Cricetulus griseus: one gene and its partner. The protein of the gene in region 2 interacts with the protein of the main gene of each other region in a pairwise test. Links are inferred from orthologs where the notes say so. Each region holds a gene or a part of one and is shown on either strand. Other genes may lie near its edges.

Region 1 (6,210 bases), on a different chromosome or scaffold from region 2:
ACTGTGCTGCGTGGCGTTGGCTAAGGACCAGCACGGAGGGAAAACTGAAAATCAAAAATAAATAAATAAATATTTGGAAGTTGATTTAGACTCCCCTTGTACACACACACACACACACACCATACTCTGAAACCAACATTTAGATAGTGACATAACACTCACACTTTTTTTTTTTTTTTTTTTTTTTTTTTTGTAATCGGTTATCCCTCTCCAATGGCAGAATTGTTAGCCTTGGGGATCACAACGAATCATAATTCATTTGTACATTTTAGACTCCTGGGCAACTTGGGTGCTTTTGTTTCCAGTGTATACAACCTGCTGCAATTCATTGCTGCTTTCCATTTTCTATATTTCCATTTTTAATCTCACTTTGTTATTTTCAAAATATATTAGTTAAAGACTGTAGTGGTTAATCTTGGTTGTTAACAATTAAAGACACCTAGAAATTTGTCAAGTACCTTCTGGGTATGATTGTGAGGCTATTTCTAGAATCAACTCATATATCAGTTTTCAGATTGAACAAGTAGGACCCACTCTGAATTGTGGGCAGCTGGAATTTAGGAATAAAAAGAGAAAGAAGGGGGCATCCATATTTGTTTGCATACTGGACTTTTTTGGGGTGATTCGGTGTTTGCTGCTGTCATCCCCAGGCCTCAGGCATCAGGCTTCCTGGCTATATCACTGCTCTCTTGTTCTAAAACTTACAGCTTCTTAAATAAAAAAGATATTGGTTTCTGTGTGTCTCTAGTCTTTAGAAGGCCATTGTAGAACTATACAGCCTTTGGTCATGTGTCATCCCATTTGGTCAACCAATAACCAAGTGTACACTGGGGACTTTTTGTGTTTTGTTTGGGATTTTTGAAATCATAGGGAATAAGATAACAATTTGTCACTTAAAAATGACATGAATTTTTCTTTCGTTTTTCTATCTGATTTAAAGCTTTCTGTGCAATATGTATCAATTATGACTTTTACAAGTCCCTGGCAAATGTCAGAATTTGTGTTTATAAGACAAGAGTAGACCAAGAACACCAGAAATTATTAGTGACATTATCATTTTTAAAAGGACCTTGGATGAAGGGCAAAATACACAGGCATTTTAGGTGCAGATTGGGCAGCATATAGTACTCTGTCTTCACTCCAGCTGTAGAAGGCACTGACATCTTCCTCCAACACATGGTGAAATGCAATTATAGCATGCAATCCATATGCCAGCTGTTATCCCATTGAGGATTACTGCTGTAAACTAAGCTAAACTTTTAAGAGACTGTCACAAATTTTCTTTGTGTCTTGTACTGTACGTGGGGTGGGAGGTACAGGATAAAAGTAGGAAGGAGAGCAACGTAGTCAACAGTTCGGTTAACTTTTTGGGTCTTGGGAGATGGCTCAGTGGATAAAATACTTGCTATACAAGTATGATGACTCCAGTTCAGATCCCCAGAGCTCATCTAAATGCCCGCTGGATGTTTAATTCCATGGAAAATAGAGGAAGACCCTAATTAAGCAAGATAACTTGCTAGACTGGTCCTATCAGCCAGGTTTGGCTTTAATTGAGAGATCCTGTCTCTACAGAGAAGATGGAGAGTGATGCAGGAAGCAGCCACATGCCTGTCCACACATGCATGTGCACAACATGTTCACCCTACACATGTGACTATGCACACATACACATAGACATGTGCAAAAAGAAAAAGCTTTTGTAGATACTTTTATGGTGATAAGGTCTTGAATTACGCTTTTAAATTGCAATTTCCCCTACACCACAATCGTGGCAAAAATGAAAAACTTAGTATCAGGAGTGCCCTGTGAGGTCAGGATGGAGATCTGCAGAACAAGTTCTGCTTGCTTGCAGCTAAGAAGTTGCCATTATGTTACTTCGGGTTTTGGCGCTTGTTTCCTGTCTGAAGTAACAATGTTTCTTATACAGTTACACTGTAGGGCTGCATTCTAAAGGAGCCTGTCACCAAGTTCTTTCCAAGCCCTCACTGAGGGCATGGCTCAGAGACCAGTCATGTACATTTGCATTTGTTGTTGACAACTGTGGACTGTAGACTGCCCTCCCTTCATAACCCCTGCTAAATGGGACTTGTAATCCCCTTCCCACCCACTCTCTTACTCCCTAGAGCAAGAATGTTGACTCCTGCTCTCTGTCACCTGTCAGAATCCATCCTCCTGTCACTGGCTTATATGGTCAAGTCAGTCCAGGGCCATGTGACCTTGGGTTGCTAAAAACAGCTCCATCACCCACTCTGAACCAGGGCCTGCAACAATGTCCTCCATAGAGAGAAACATAAAGGACACTTGATCTTACAGTCCTTGGAATTATTTCCAGGAAACACTTGCAGAAGCCGTTTGGGAGCACCAGTCCCCTGGCAGCACACTCAGCGACGGCCAGGAAATGAGCGCTTCTTTGAATTACAAGTCTTTCTCCAAAGAGCAGCAGACTATGGATAACTTGGAAAAGCAACTGATATGTCCCATCTGCCTAGAGATGTTCACGAAGCCTGTCGTCATTCTCCCCTGCCAGCACAACCTGTGTAGGAAATGTGCCAGTGATATCTTCCAGGTAGGTGTGTTTGGAATTCAGAGGGTGTCGAGTGTCCCTCCATCCTGTTTGAAATCAAAGGCGGTCCCCTTAGAGAGCTCTCCAAGGCTGTTTCCAGTGTGTTTGAATCATTTTCCCAGGTTTGGTTGTCAGCTTCCTCCTTAATTCCAAATCCAGTTGTGTTTTCATTCTAAGAACCGTATTTGTCATTAGTAAAACAAAACAGATGTACTGACTATGTTTAAAAATTGAAAATGAGCTACTGGTCAGAGGATGAGTGTTGGAGCTTCTGGTTGAAACTTTGGGTTATGAAAACACGGGATAGAAGAATGCTTCTTGCTAAAGAGGGGACATTGTAGGTTTGGCTGTGGATCAGGGAAGGCCTGTGTTTCAGGACCACTTGTAGTAAGCCCTGAGAGTCAATATAGTGCATGGTGTCAGAGAGTGAAAATAGTCTCCAAAAAGCTCCCCATGGGGCATTACTCAGTTCCTTTTTTTCTTGCTTGGCAAGAACAGGCCTCTAACCCATACTTACCCACAAGAGGAGGCACCACGGTGGCATCAGGGGGTCGATTCCGCTGTCCCTCCTGCAGACATGAGGTGGTGTTAGACAGACATGGGGTTTATGGACTTCAGAGGAACCTGCTCGTGGAAAACATCATTGACATCTATAAACAGGAATCCACCAGGTAAGAGCTATTCTGAGAGACAAACCTACTGGATGCTTTGTCTAATTGTTTTCAGCTTGATGGTCTGATGCACTGCATGTTCGTTAGCAGTCACAAGTTAATTGTTCCTTAAAAGGCTTTTCCATGTCAGTCTTTCCCAATGAGATGGAGTTGCTCATGGAGGAAAGAAGGGAGCTGGTGTGCGTGCCCTGTGTCATCAAAGGTAGTCATGTTGAAAGAGGTGTGGTGCTGCCCACAGCCTTGTATTACATTCATTTTAGACACATTGCAGGTTCCTTGTAAGTCCAGATCCTATGCTACAGAAAAACTCTAGCACAAACATGCACATAAGGGAAGCATCACTGTTCAAAATCCCCTGGCTCCTAGTGGCCTTGCCTTAAAAATGGTCTAAGCAACAGTAACACCTAAAATTTAAAAACACTCTGACCTCATCATTTGTCCTAATATCGGCTCTAATAGAATGTTCAAAGCAAGATATAATGCTGGTGTTCAGAAACTTCATTTACAGACATGGGAGAGGGAGTACATTTCAGGCTGTTTCTCTATTAGTGCATACTCTTAGCATCTACTTGGTGATTGATTGGTGTGTCATATGCATCCATTCATTAAAACATTTTTAAAGGCCTCTTATTATCACCCACATAAGTTATACAGTTCCTTTCCTAGAGATGAAACTGCAGAGTTTACTCCTAGAAGGCATGTTGAGAAGAGTCCTAACTCAATTCTACACAGGTCATTTGAGTTCAAAACGTTAGTATCCATATGGAGATCGTTTAGAAATGGACCCTCTGTGATCCCTAGCATCTAGGGCATGTGTTTATAGAACATCTGCAGGGCTGCAAATGCCTTGTACTCTTTGCAGGAAGGTTGCTCCATTAATCTAACATGTAATTATTGTGATTATTATGCCCATTAGTTTCTGCTCAAGATTCAGAGCTAAATTAGATAGCACCAGGCTATAGATGGGATCGAGGAAGAATTGCTGATGACATGTTGCAGCCACCTGTTTCCCTTGCTTCCAAATCTTTTGACAAGAAGGAAAGTGTTACCAGAGTTGCAGATCTGATTGCATCGTATTTCATTGTGTTAATGAAATGAATACATCTACAAAATGCTCCCACACCTCGGGCTCAAGGAACATTGCAGAAGAAGGCATGGAAAGACTTTAAGAGCCAGCTGATCAGGGAGCTTGCTATAAGACTGTGTCAGAAGCTATACCCATAACTGACCCCCACCATGATTGCCTAAATGTGAGCTGAACAAGGACGACAACAGACATGCCAAAATGGGTGAGGAAAAACCCCCGAGGCTTCAAACCACAAAGAACTACAGGCAACTAAACAATGTTGAGAGTGGAAGGAATAGTCTTTCCTAGCAAAGAGCATAAAAATTGGTTACACAATTTCAAATGGTCAGTCCTGAAAACATAATAAGAGTAACTGAGCAGGATTTATTTATAAATAAATAAATAAATAAATATGTACATGTAATAACAATTTAAAAAGAGGTCATGAATTTGAAAGAGAGAAAGGAGGGGTAAATGGAAGGGTTTGCAGAGAGGAGAGGGAGAAATGATGTGACTATATTATGATCTCAAAAATAAAAAAGGTCAACCACACGTTGTCTCCTTAAGAGATTACCATGGCAACTAATAACCAACCAATTATTAAATGGCAGTTATTCAACTATGGTTTCAGTGTCATATACAGTGCCTTCCCAGAACAGGAGCTCCACAGTGCTAGCTCCTTAAACAGAACAAAGAAATGCACCACTGTCAGGCTTCTGGGTTCTATTTATTACAGTTATTTTTTTTTTTATCTCACCACTCACCTAGTTGGAACTTCAAACATAAACATAATAGCATTTGCGATGAAATCTAGAGGACAGGAAATATTAAAACTTGTAGTGTTAGTACAACTACAAGATATAGTCTTGCCTTAATCATGAAGTCAGCCTGATACTCCTTCAGAGGATGGGAAACAAATTATACAAAAACAATGAGCCAAATTGCCACTACTAAAGCAAGAGCCATCAGGAATAGGGATAATTTTGTAATTATAAAATTCTTACATTGTTTCTTAAACTCAAGTCACATTGGGATGTTTTTACATGGTAGTTGCTTAAAATGGCTTAGTCACATCAAATTGAAGTTGGGAAGTTATACCAGACATGAGCCCCAAGCCATGGGATATATTCAACAACCTTAGAATACAGAATAAGATAACCCCAGCTCTAGTCTTTGGCAGTGTCAACAGAAAGGGAAAAGGCTGCTGTGATAGACTTTGAAGTATCATTCAACTCTGTCCTCTTACAGGATAGCTACAGTCATGACAAATCCTAGCCTTAACTAGCATTCTTCATCGTGATACACTAGCCACAGTTTGGGCTGGGCAAGGGAAGACACTAACTTGGTTAATATTATTATTGAACATAGTGATTAATTTGTTGATATAATAAGCAAAATGGCTTTGTATTGTGTGTTAGACTCTGTTCAGATGCTTTACCTGTGCCCCAGGTGTGATTCTTTAATGTTCCCAATGGTCCTCTGAGGTGGATTTTATTATCACACTATCAAAATTTTTGAATGCTTGTGTGTGTATGTGTGTGTGTGTGTGTGTGTGTGTGTAATGCATGTGTGTATATTCATGTGTGGGCAGGTGTATGTGCACATGTGTGTGAAGGCCAGTGTCTGACCAGATGTTCTGCTCTGTTGTGCTCCATGTTATTTTTTAAGGCAGCATCTGTCACTGAAATAGGAGCATAGCTGGCTAGCAAGCTAGGGGTTCTCATCATTGTCATCAGGGTTAGAATCACAGGCTCACACCACCACACTTTTGTTTGCTTTTAAGGATGCTTAAAATTAAATTCAGGTCCTCATGCTTACATGGCAAGTACTTGACTGACTAAGACATTTCCCCAGCCCTTTAAAAATGCTCCAATGGGAATGAAATACATAAATACTTTAATTTTAAAAGA
Region 2 (5,599 bases):
CAAGCAGACCTGTGAGCCCTGCTATGGAACATTCAAGATGTTGGTCATATTGCTCCAGCTCCACACCCCCTCATGCCTAAGCTCACCACATGAGTACCTCATTCATTCAGTTTAGTTTTGTGTATACTACATGAAAAATCTTCATGAAGTGTGATGGGACACAGTCAAAAATAACTTGGAATGACCAAAGGACACTGGGAGGTCTCTGTTGCCAAGGACCAAACTGAAACCACCTCCAGCAAGGCCAGAATTCCCTAACTCATAGTCACCAATGCTCACCGTTGCTCGTAGGGCCTGCACTGCCTGATTGCGCTGAAATCCCATGGAGGTGATGATAGCTACAATTTCCTCAGGAGGTTGGTTGTCCAATCCAGTAGCACCATATACAGAGGCTCCAGCCCCTCCATACCCAGGTATGGCCAAGGGTTCAGCAAAATCTGAGAAAAATAACTGTACTAAAATTTTTCTGGCTTTTTGCCTTGAAAACAAACATTGTAGAAGAAATGTGGAAAAATATACAAAACTGTATAATCAAGGGATCCTAGAACCAGATCTGAGGCTAGACATACCAGTCGATTTAACAGCATTAGAAAGTCCAAAGACAGGTGATTTCCAAGCAGACTTTTCAGCAGGGAAAGACATGGCTATTTGCATACAAAACCATAAAGACAGAGGTTCCTCCTCATGTAACACAAAATCAACTCAAGCTGGATCATTGTCTTAAACACAGGAACTAAAAGTATTAATTTTAAAAATTAATTAAAATAATTTTAATTTTTTTTAATTAAAAGAGAAAACACAAGATTCAGTCTTTGTAACATTGGGTTAAGCAATGATCCCTTGTATATGACACAGAAAGTAGAATTCATAAAACAAAGTAGATGTATCATACCTCATCAAAATTGAAAAACTGTCTACTTGAAAGACATCATCAAAGAAGTGAAGACATAGAACAGAAAAATATCTCTGCAAATTATGTGTCTGACAACACTTAGGAGGCAGAGGCAGGTGGATCTCTGTGAATTTGAGGCCACCTTGGTCTACAGAGCGAGTGACAGGATAGGCTCCAAAGCTACACAGAGAAACCTGTCTTGAAAAACCAAAAAAGAAAAAAAAAATGTGTCTGAGAGGAAACCTGTATCTAAAATTTAAAAAGAACTCTTAGAACTTAACAATAAAAGGCAAAGAACTAATTATACCCACAGTGTTATTAGTCAGTAGGGAAATACCTCTTGAAATCACAGTGACCACCATGGTACACCCAGAAGCCACTATAACAAAACTGCTAATGGTGAGAATTCAGAGAAATTGAATCCTTCATTCATCATGGGTAAGAGTATGAAATGGTTCAGCCACTGGGTAAAATTGACAATTTTTAAAAAGTTAAATATAGAACTACATCAATTCTGCTCAAGAGAAACAAAATCATAAATCTATATATGCACAAAAGTTTATGTTTACAGCCCCATTAATAAACACCAAAGAGCAGAAAAAACCCAAATGACTGTCATCCTCTGATAAAAGGGCAGACTGTGGTATGGCTATACATGGAACACTACATGGCCATAAAAGGGAAGTGCTGTTCATGCTACAGCATAAGACCCCTAAATACATTATGAAAAGCGGTAGAAACCTGACACAAAAGGCCTCATGTTGTACAATTCCATTCATATGAATTATCAAAAATAGGCAAATTCATAACAATTGTAGGGTACCCAGAAAGTAGATTAGTGAAGATTAAGCACTGGAGAGAGTAAGAACATGGGAGAGGCAGTGTCTTAATTAGGGTTTCTATTGCTATGAAGAGACACCATGACCTCAGCAACTCTTATAAAGAGAACATTTAATTGGGGTGGCTTGCTTATAGTTCCAGGGATTCGGTCCATTATCATCATGGTGGAACATGGAGGCAATCAGGCAGACACAGTACCAGAACTGAAAGTGCTGTATCTTACAGGCAACAGAAGTAGACTGAGCCACTGGGCAGCTTCCTGAGCATAGGAAACCTCAGAGCCCACCCAGATAGTGACATACTTCCACCAACAAAGCCACACCTTCTAATAGTGCCACTCCCTATGAGATTATGGGGGCCAATTACAATCAAACCACCAAGATACCTCCTATCTAGCATTTCTTTTGTTATACAAAAATATTCTAGAATTAGACAGTTGCTTAATTGTAAAGTGACTAAAATCCATGTGAATGTACACTTCTGATAGGTGGATATATAAATGACATCTTCAGAAAGTAGACAAAAGAAGAAGCTGAGGAAAGGGCCTCCATTTCTTCAGTTTTCTATTTCAAGCTTAAAATAAACACCACATCTTTCTAATGATCTTTTGGTCAACGAAGTGTGGACACCTTTAAGGAGGAAGTTATTCCAAGAAAGCTGTTGTTTAAGAGATTAAGATTGTGACTTTGCCCAAACAGTAGCATGTTACCATCTGAAAACTCATCTTTGGGGACACATCCTTGGGGACATGAACTCCAAAGTACTCCCATATGGCCACCTACCAGGTTCCTCCATGTGCACGATAATCCAGTTGAAGGCCACCTCAGCTCCAGTGTTTCCAGTGAAGTACACAGCCTTCCGGCAGGCTTCCAAAGGAAAGCCCATCTCAGCCAGCTGCATCACGGAGGATTCATCAATGTCTGAGGCTACAGAGCACAGCAGGATATCCCACCATGAAAAACAGAATTTTCCACTTCCTCCTGTCTTCATTACTCTTCAACCCCTTATCTAATCTACAGACTACCTGAAGACAGATCCATTTTGTTGGGTCTTAATTTGACTTCTTTTTATGTCATCTAACTATTGAGCTATTCATGAGAAAAAAAATGGTATTATTACCTCAGTTTACAAATGAGGTAATTGAGGCCTATAGAATAAGAAACAAATTGTTCCAGGCCACACAGTCCTAAGCAGCAAAACCCCACAGGACTGCAAGCTTTCAAGCCTACACTAATCCTCCTGAGCAATAAGGGATACTTAAGCAGCATTTCATTGGTCTACATTTGTTGCTTACTCAACTTACAGACAGTTCCACCCAGGAACAACCACATATATCCAGGACAGAACAATGCTACTTTGCTGAACTACTACTTAAAAAAAAAAAAAAAAGTTACACTATGAGCTGAAGAGATGGCTCAGAAGTTAAGAGCACTTACTACTCTTCCAGAGGCCCCAGGTTTTTTCTGTTCCTAGCACTCATATGGTGGCTCACAACCCTCTCTAACCCTAGTTTCAGGGAATCTGACACCCTTTTCTGGCCTCTGTGGGCATCAGGCATTCACATGGTACACAGACATGCACACAGGCAAGACACCCATATGTATAAATAAAAATGAACAAATCTTTAAAACATATCATACTAGCAACAACTGTAAGACACCAAAAAACACTTTTAAAGATACCTACGGTCTATCAACTGGTTCATCAGGCGATCTGGAAATGAAAGAACAGATGATAAATAAGAGCTAGCCACCACCAATAGTTTTAGAAAAAAGAAACTGCATCAGTCCAGGATATTCCCAGACCCTCTCACTCCTGGTTACCCCACACACACTACCTGCAAAACAGTTCATTAATTACAGTAATGAGGGGAAACAGCAGATTTTGGGCAAATAAAACAAGAAGTTTTGACATCTCAGTGAGATAAATAATTTCAATCCTTGCATTTATTTCCAAGAGCAAGGTTTCTGGCCTGGACATGATTTATAGGGGAAGTATGAAAAGCCATCCTGGCTTCCCTACTGCTCACCACTACCTGTCTGTAAGCCCTTTCAGGAGCCTCTGCCACCAGGGCCCAAATCAATGACTCATAGTGTATGAGTCTGAAGTATACAGTTGCAGCCATGCTTCATTCCTATGTGTCTAGGTCAAAGACAGGGAGCAGTTTAATGGTGAAACAGTAACTCCTCCTGGCTGGAAGAGGGTGGTAAGGAAAGAGTATCCTTCCAGTAGGAAATGGTACCTTTTGAGTCATCAGGAATGACTATAGGGGGACTGATGTCTGGAAGCTCCTCTTCTCCTGGCTGTAAGCCCCTGGCTCTAAGATGGCTGATATCTAGTAGGTCTGGCATATCAATAGAAACATCTGCAAAACAAAAGATTATATTCACTGGACTCTCTAGAGCCCAAATCAGCTCATTATAAATCTGCATGTGTTCACTGCATGCATGTATCTTGGCAGCCTAAGGGACACAGAGCACAGCAGATTTGTCAAGCCACATGAAAGTTAATGGAGGGCTCAGGGAAAGGGCAGAGAGTGGTGGGACAAAGGCATCACACTGGACAGCAATAGGTCAGATAAGCCAGTGTTCACAGACTAGCAACCAGGCTATCTGTGGTCTGGACTCATTCCATTTTGTGTTTCTTAAAATATGGACATGATTTAAATTTAAAATTTAGACTTCTGGATTTCAAAAACCATGAAGCTGCAGCACATTCTCCCATGTAAACAGTCTGGGTTTCCCTTTAACTTCTATTTTGGACAATGGTGGCCTCTGTGACCATTTCACACTGACCCCACAGCTCTGGACTGTCCCAAACATGCACATCATGCATATGGGAGAGGATGTCTTTCTGAACTATGTTATTACACACAATGGAGCCCACCATGAGAGGAGGCTGTGTAGGCCTCTACCCGGCAGCTCTTCTTTCCTGCCTTTTGCTTCCCTATCCTTGTTGCACATTTGGGTTTGAAAACTCCTACCTAATACTTTTTTCAAATTGTGGCAGATACTGTAATGATTGTAAGTTATGAATTATAAAGCTCAAAAGAACTTGACTGAATCTTAAGTGTCTATCCCTGGACGCTCTGTGAGGAAAAACAAAACCCTCTCGGCTCAGTTGCTATTGCATTTGACTTACTCAAATGCAAGATTTACAAGCCGAATAGCATCTGAGATGCAGTGCTGCATCTATGCAAACAGGAACAGAAGTGGGTTCAACTACAATTTCAGGGTTATGTCCTTCAGGCCTGAAGGATAACTGCCTCCAAATGATTCCAGATATGTAAATCCTACTTAAGACAACCAAGCAGGCTGGGCATGGTAGCACATGCTGTAAACACAGAACTTGTGAAGTGGAAGCAGGTAGATCAGAAGTTCAAGGCTAGCCTCATCTACACAGTAAATTCAAGGCCATCCTGGGATACATGATATCCTGCCTCAAAAAATAAACAGATAAGTATAAATAAAACAATAACCCAAGAACAAAAGTTAAGTCTGAAAAGTTAAATTTTAAGGACGAGTAAAACTAAACACAAGGTCAGACTCACAGAATTGATACAACTGTTCCTCAAGAGAAAAGTCCAGGCCCTCCTTGTGACTCTTTTAAATTTAGTCAATAAAATTTGATTTCATTTTTGTTCCTTCACAAAAATTCCAAGAACAACAGTAAAAAGAAAGAAAACTGTCCAAAGCAATCCAAAATTTTCTATCTCAAATATCTAGTCTCTCCCAGAAGCCGGTAGAGAACAGAGTGGTCAGCTCCCTACCCTCAGACCCTCTCTGCTGCCTAAACTCTTCAGCAAGAAAGCCTAGGGTCTCCTGGGCCTTGGGAATGGCACAAAGGAAAAGCAAGCAGTCACTGTGT

What was found. The genes of interacting proteins can lie anywhere in the genome.
Region 1: the proteins of Usp13 (region 2) and Trim55 interact in a two-hybrid assay, tested with the Homo sapiens proteins (2 studies listed by BioGRID and IntAct). The link is inferred for Cricetulus griseus from reciprocal best matches to the Homo sapiens genes USP13 and TRIM55.

Annotation. Positions count from the first base shown.
Region 1 is NC_048595.1:150,883,181-150,889,390, reverse strand, and holds the start of Trim55 (tripartite motif-containing protein 55), read left to right. Parts: upstream 1-2,398; coding exon 2,399-2,566; intron 2,567-3,061; coding exon 3,062-3,234; intron 3,235-6,210. UniProt on the Homo sapiens protein: E3 ubiquitin ligase that plays an important role in regulating cardiac development and contractility, muscle growth, metabolism, and fiber-type differentiation.
Region 2 is NW_023276806.1:116,474,545-116,480,143, forward strand, and holds part of Usp13 (ubiquitin carboxyl-terminal hydrolase 13), read right to left. Parts: intron 4,098-5,599; coding exon 3,975-4,097; intron 3,446-3,974; coding exon 3,419-3,445; intron 2,659-3,418; coding exon 2,515-2,658; intron 438-2,514; coding exon 280-437; intron 1-279. UniProt on the Homo sapiens protein: Deubiquitinase that mediates deubiquitination of target proteins such as BECN1, MITF, SKP2 and USP10 and is involved in various processes such as autophagy, endoplasmic reticulum-associated degradation (ERAD), cell cycle progression or DNA damage response.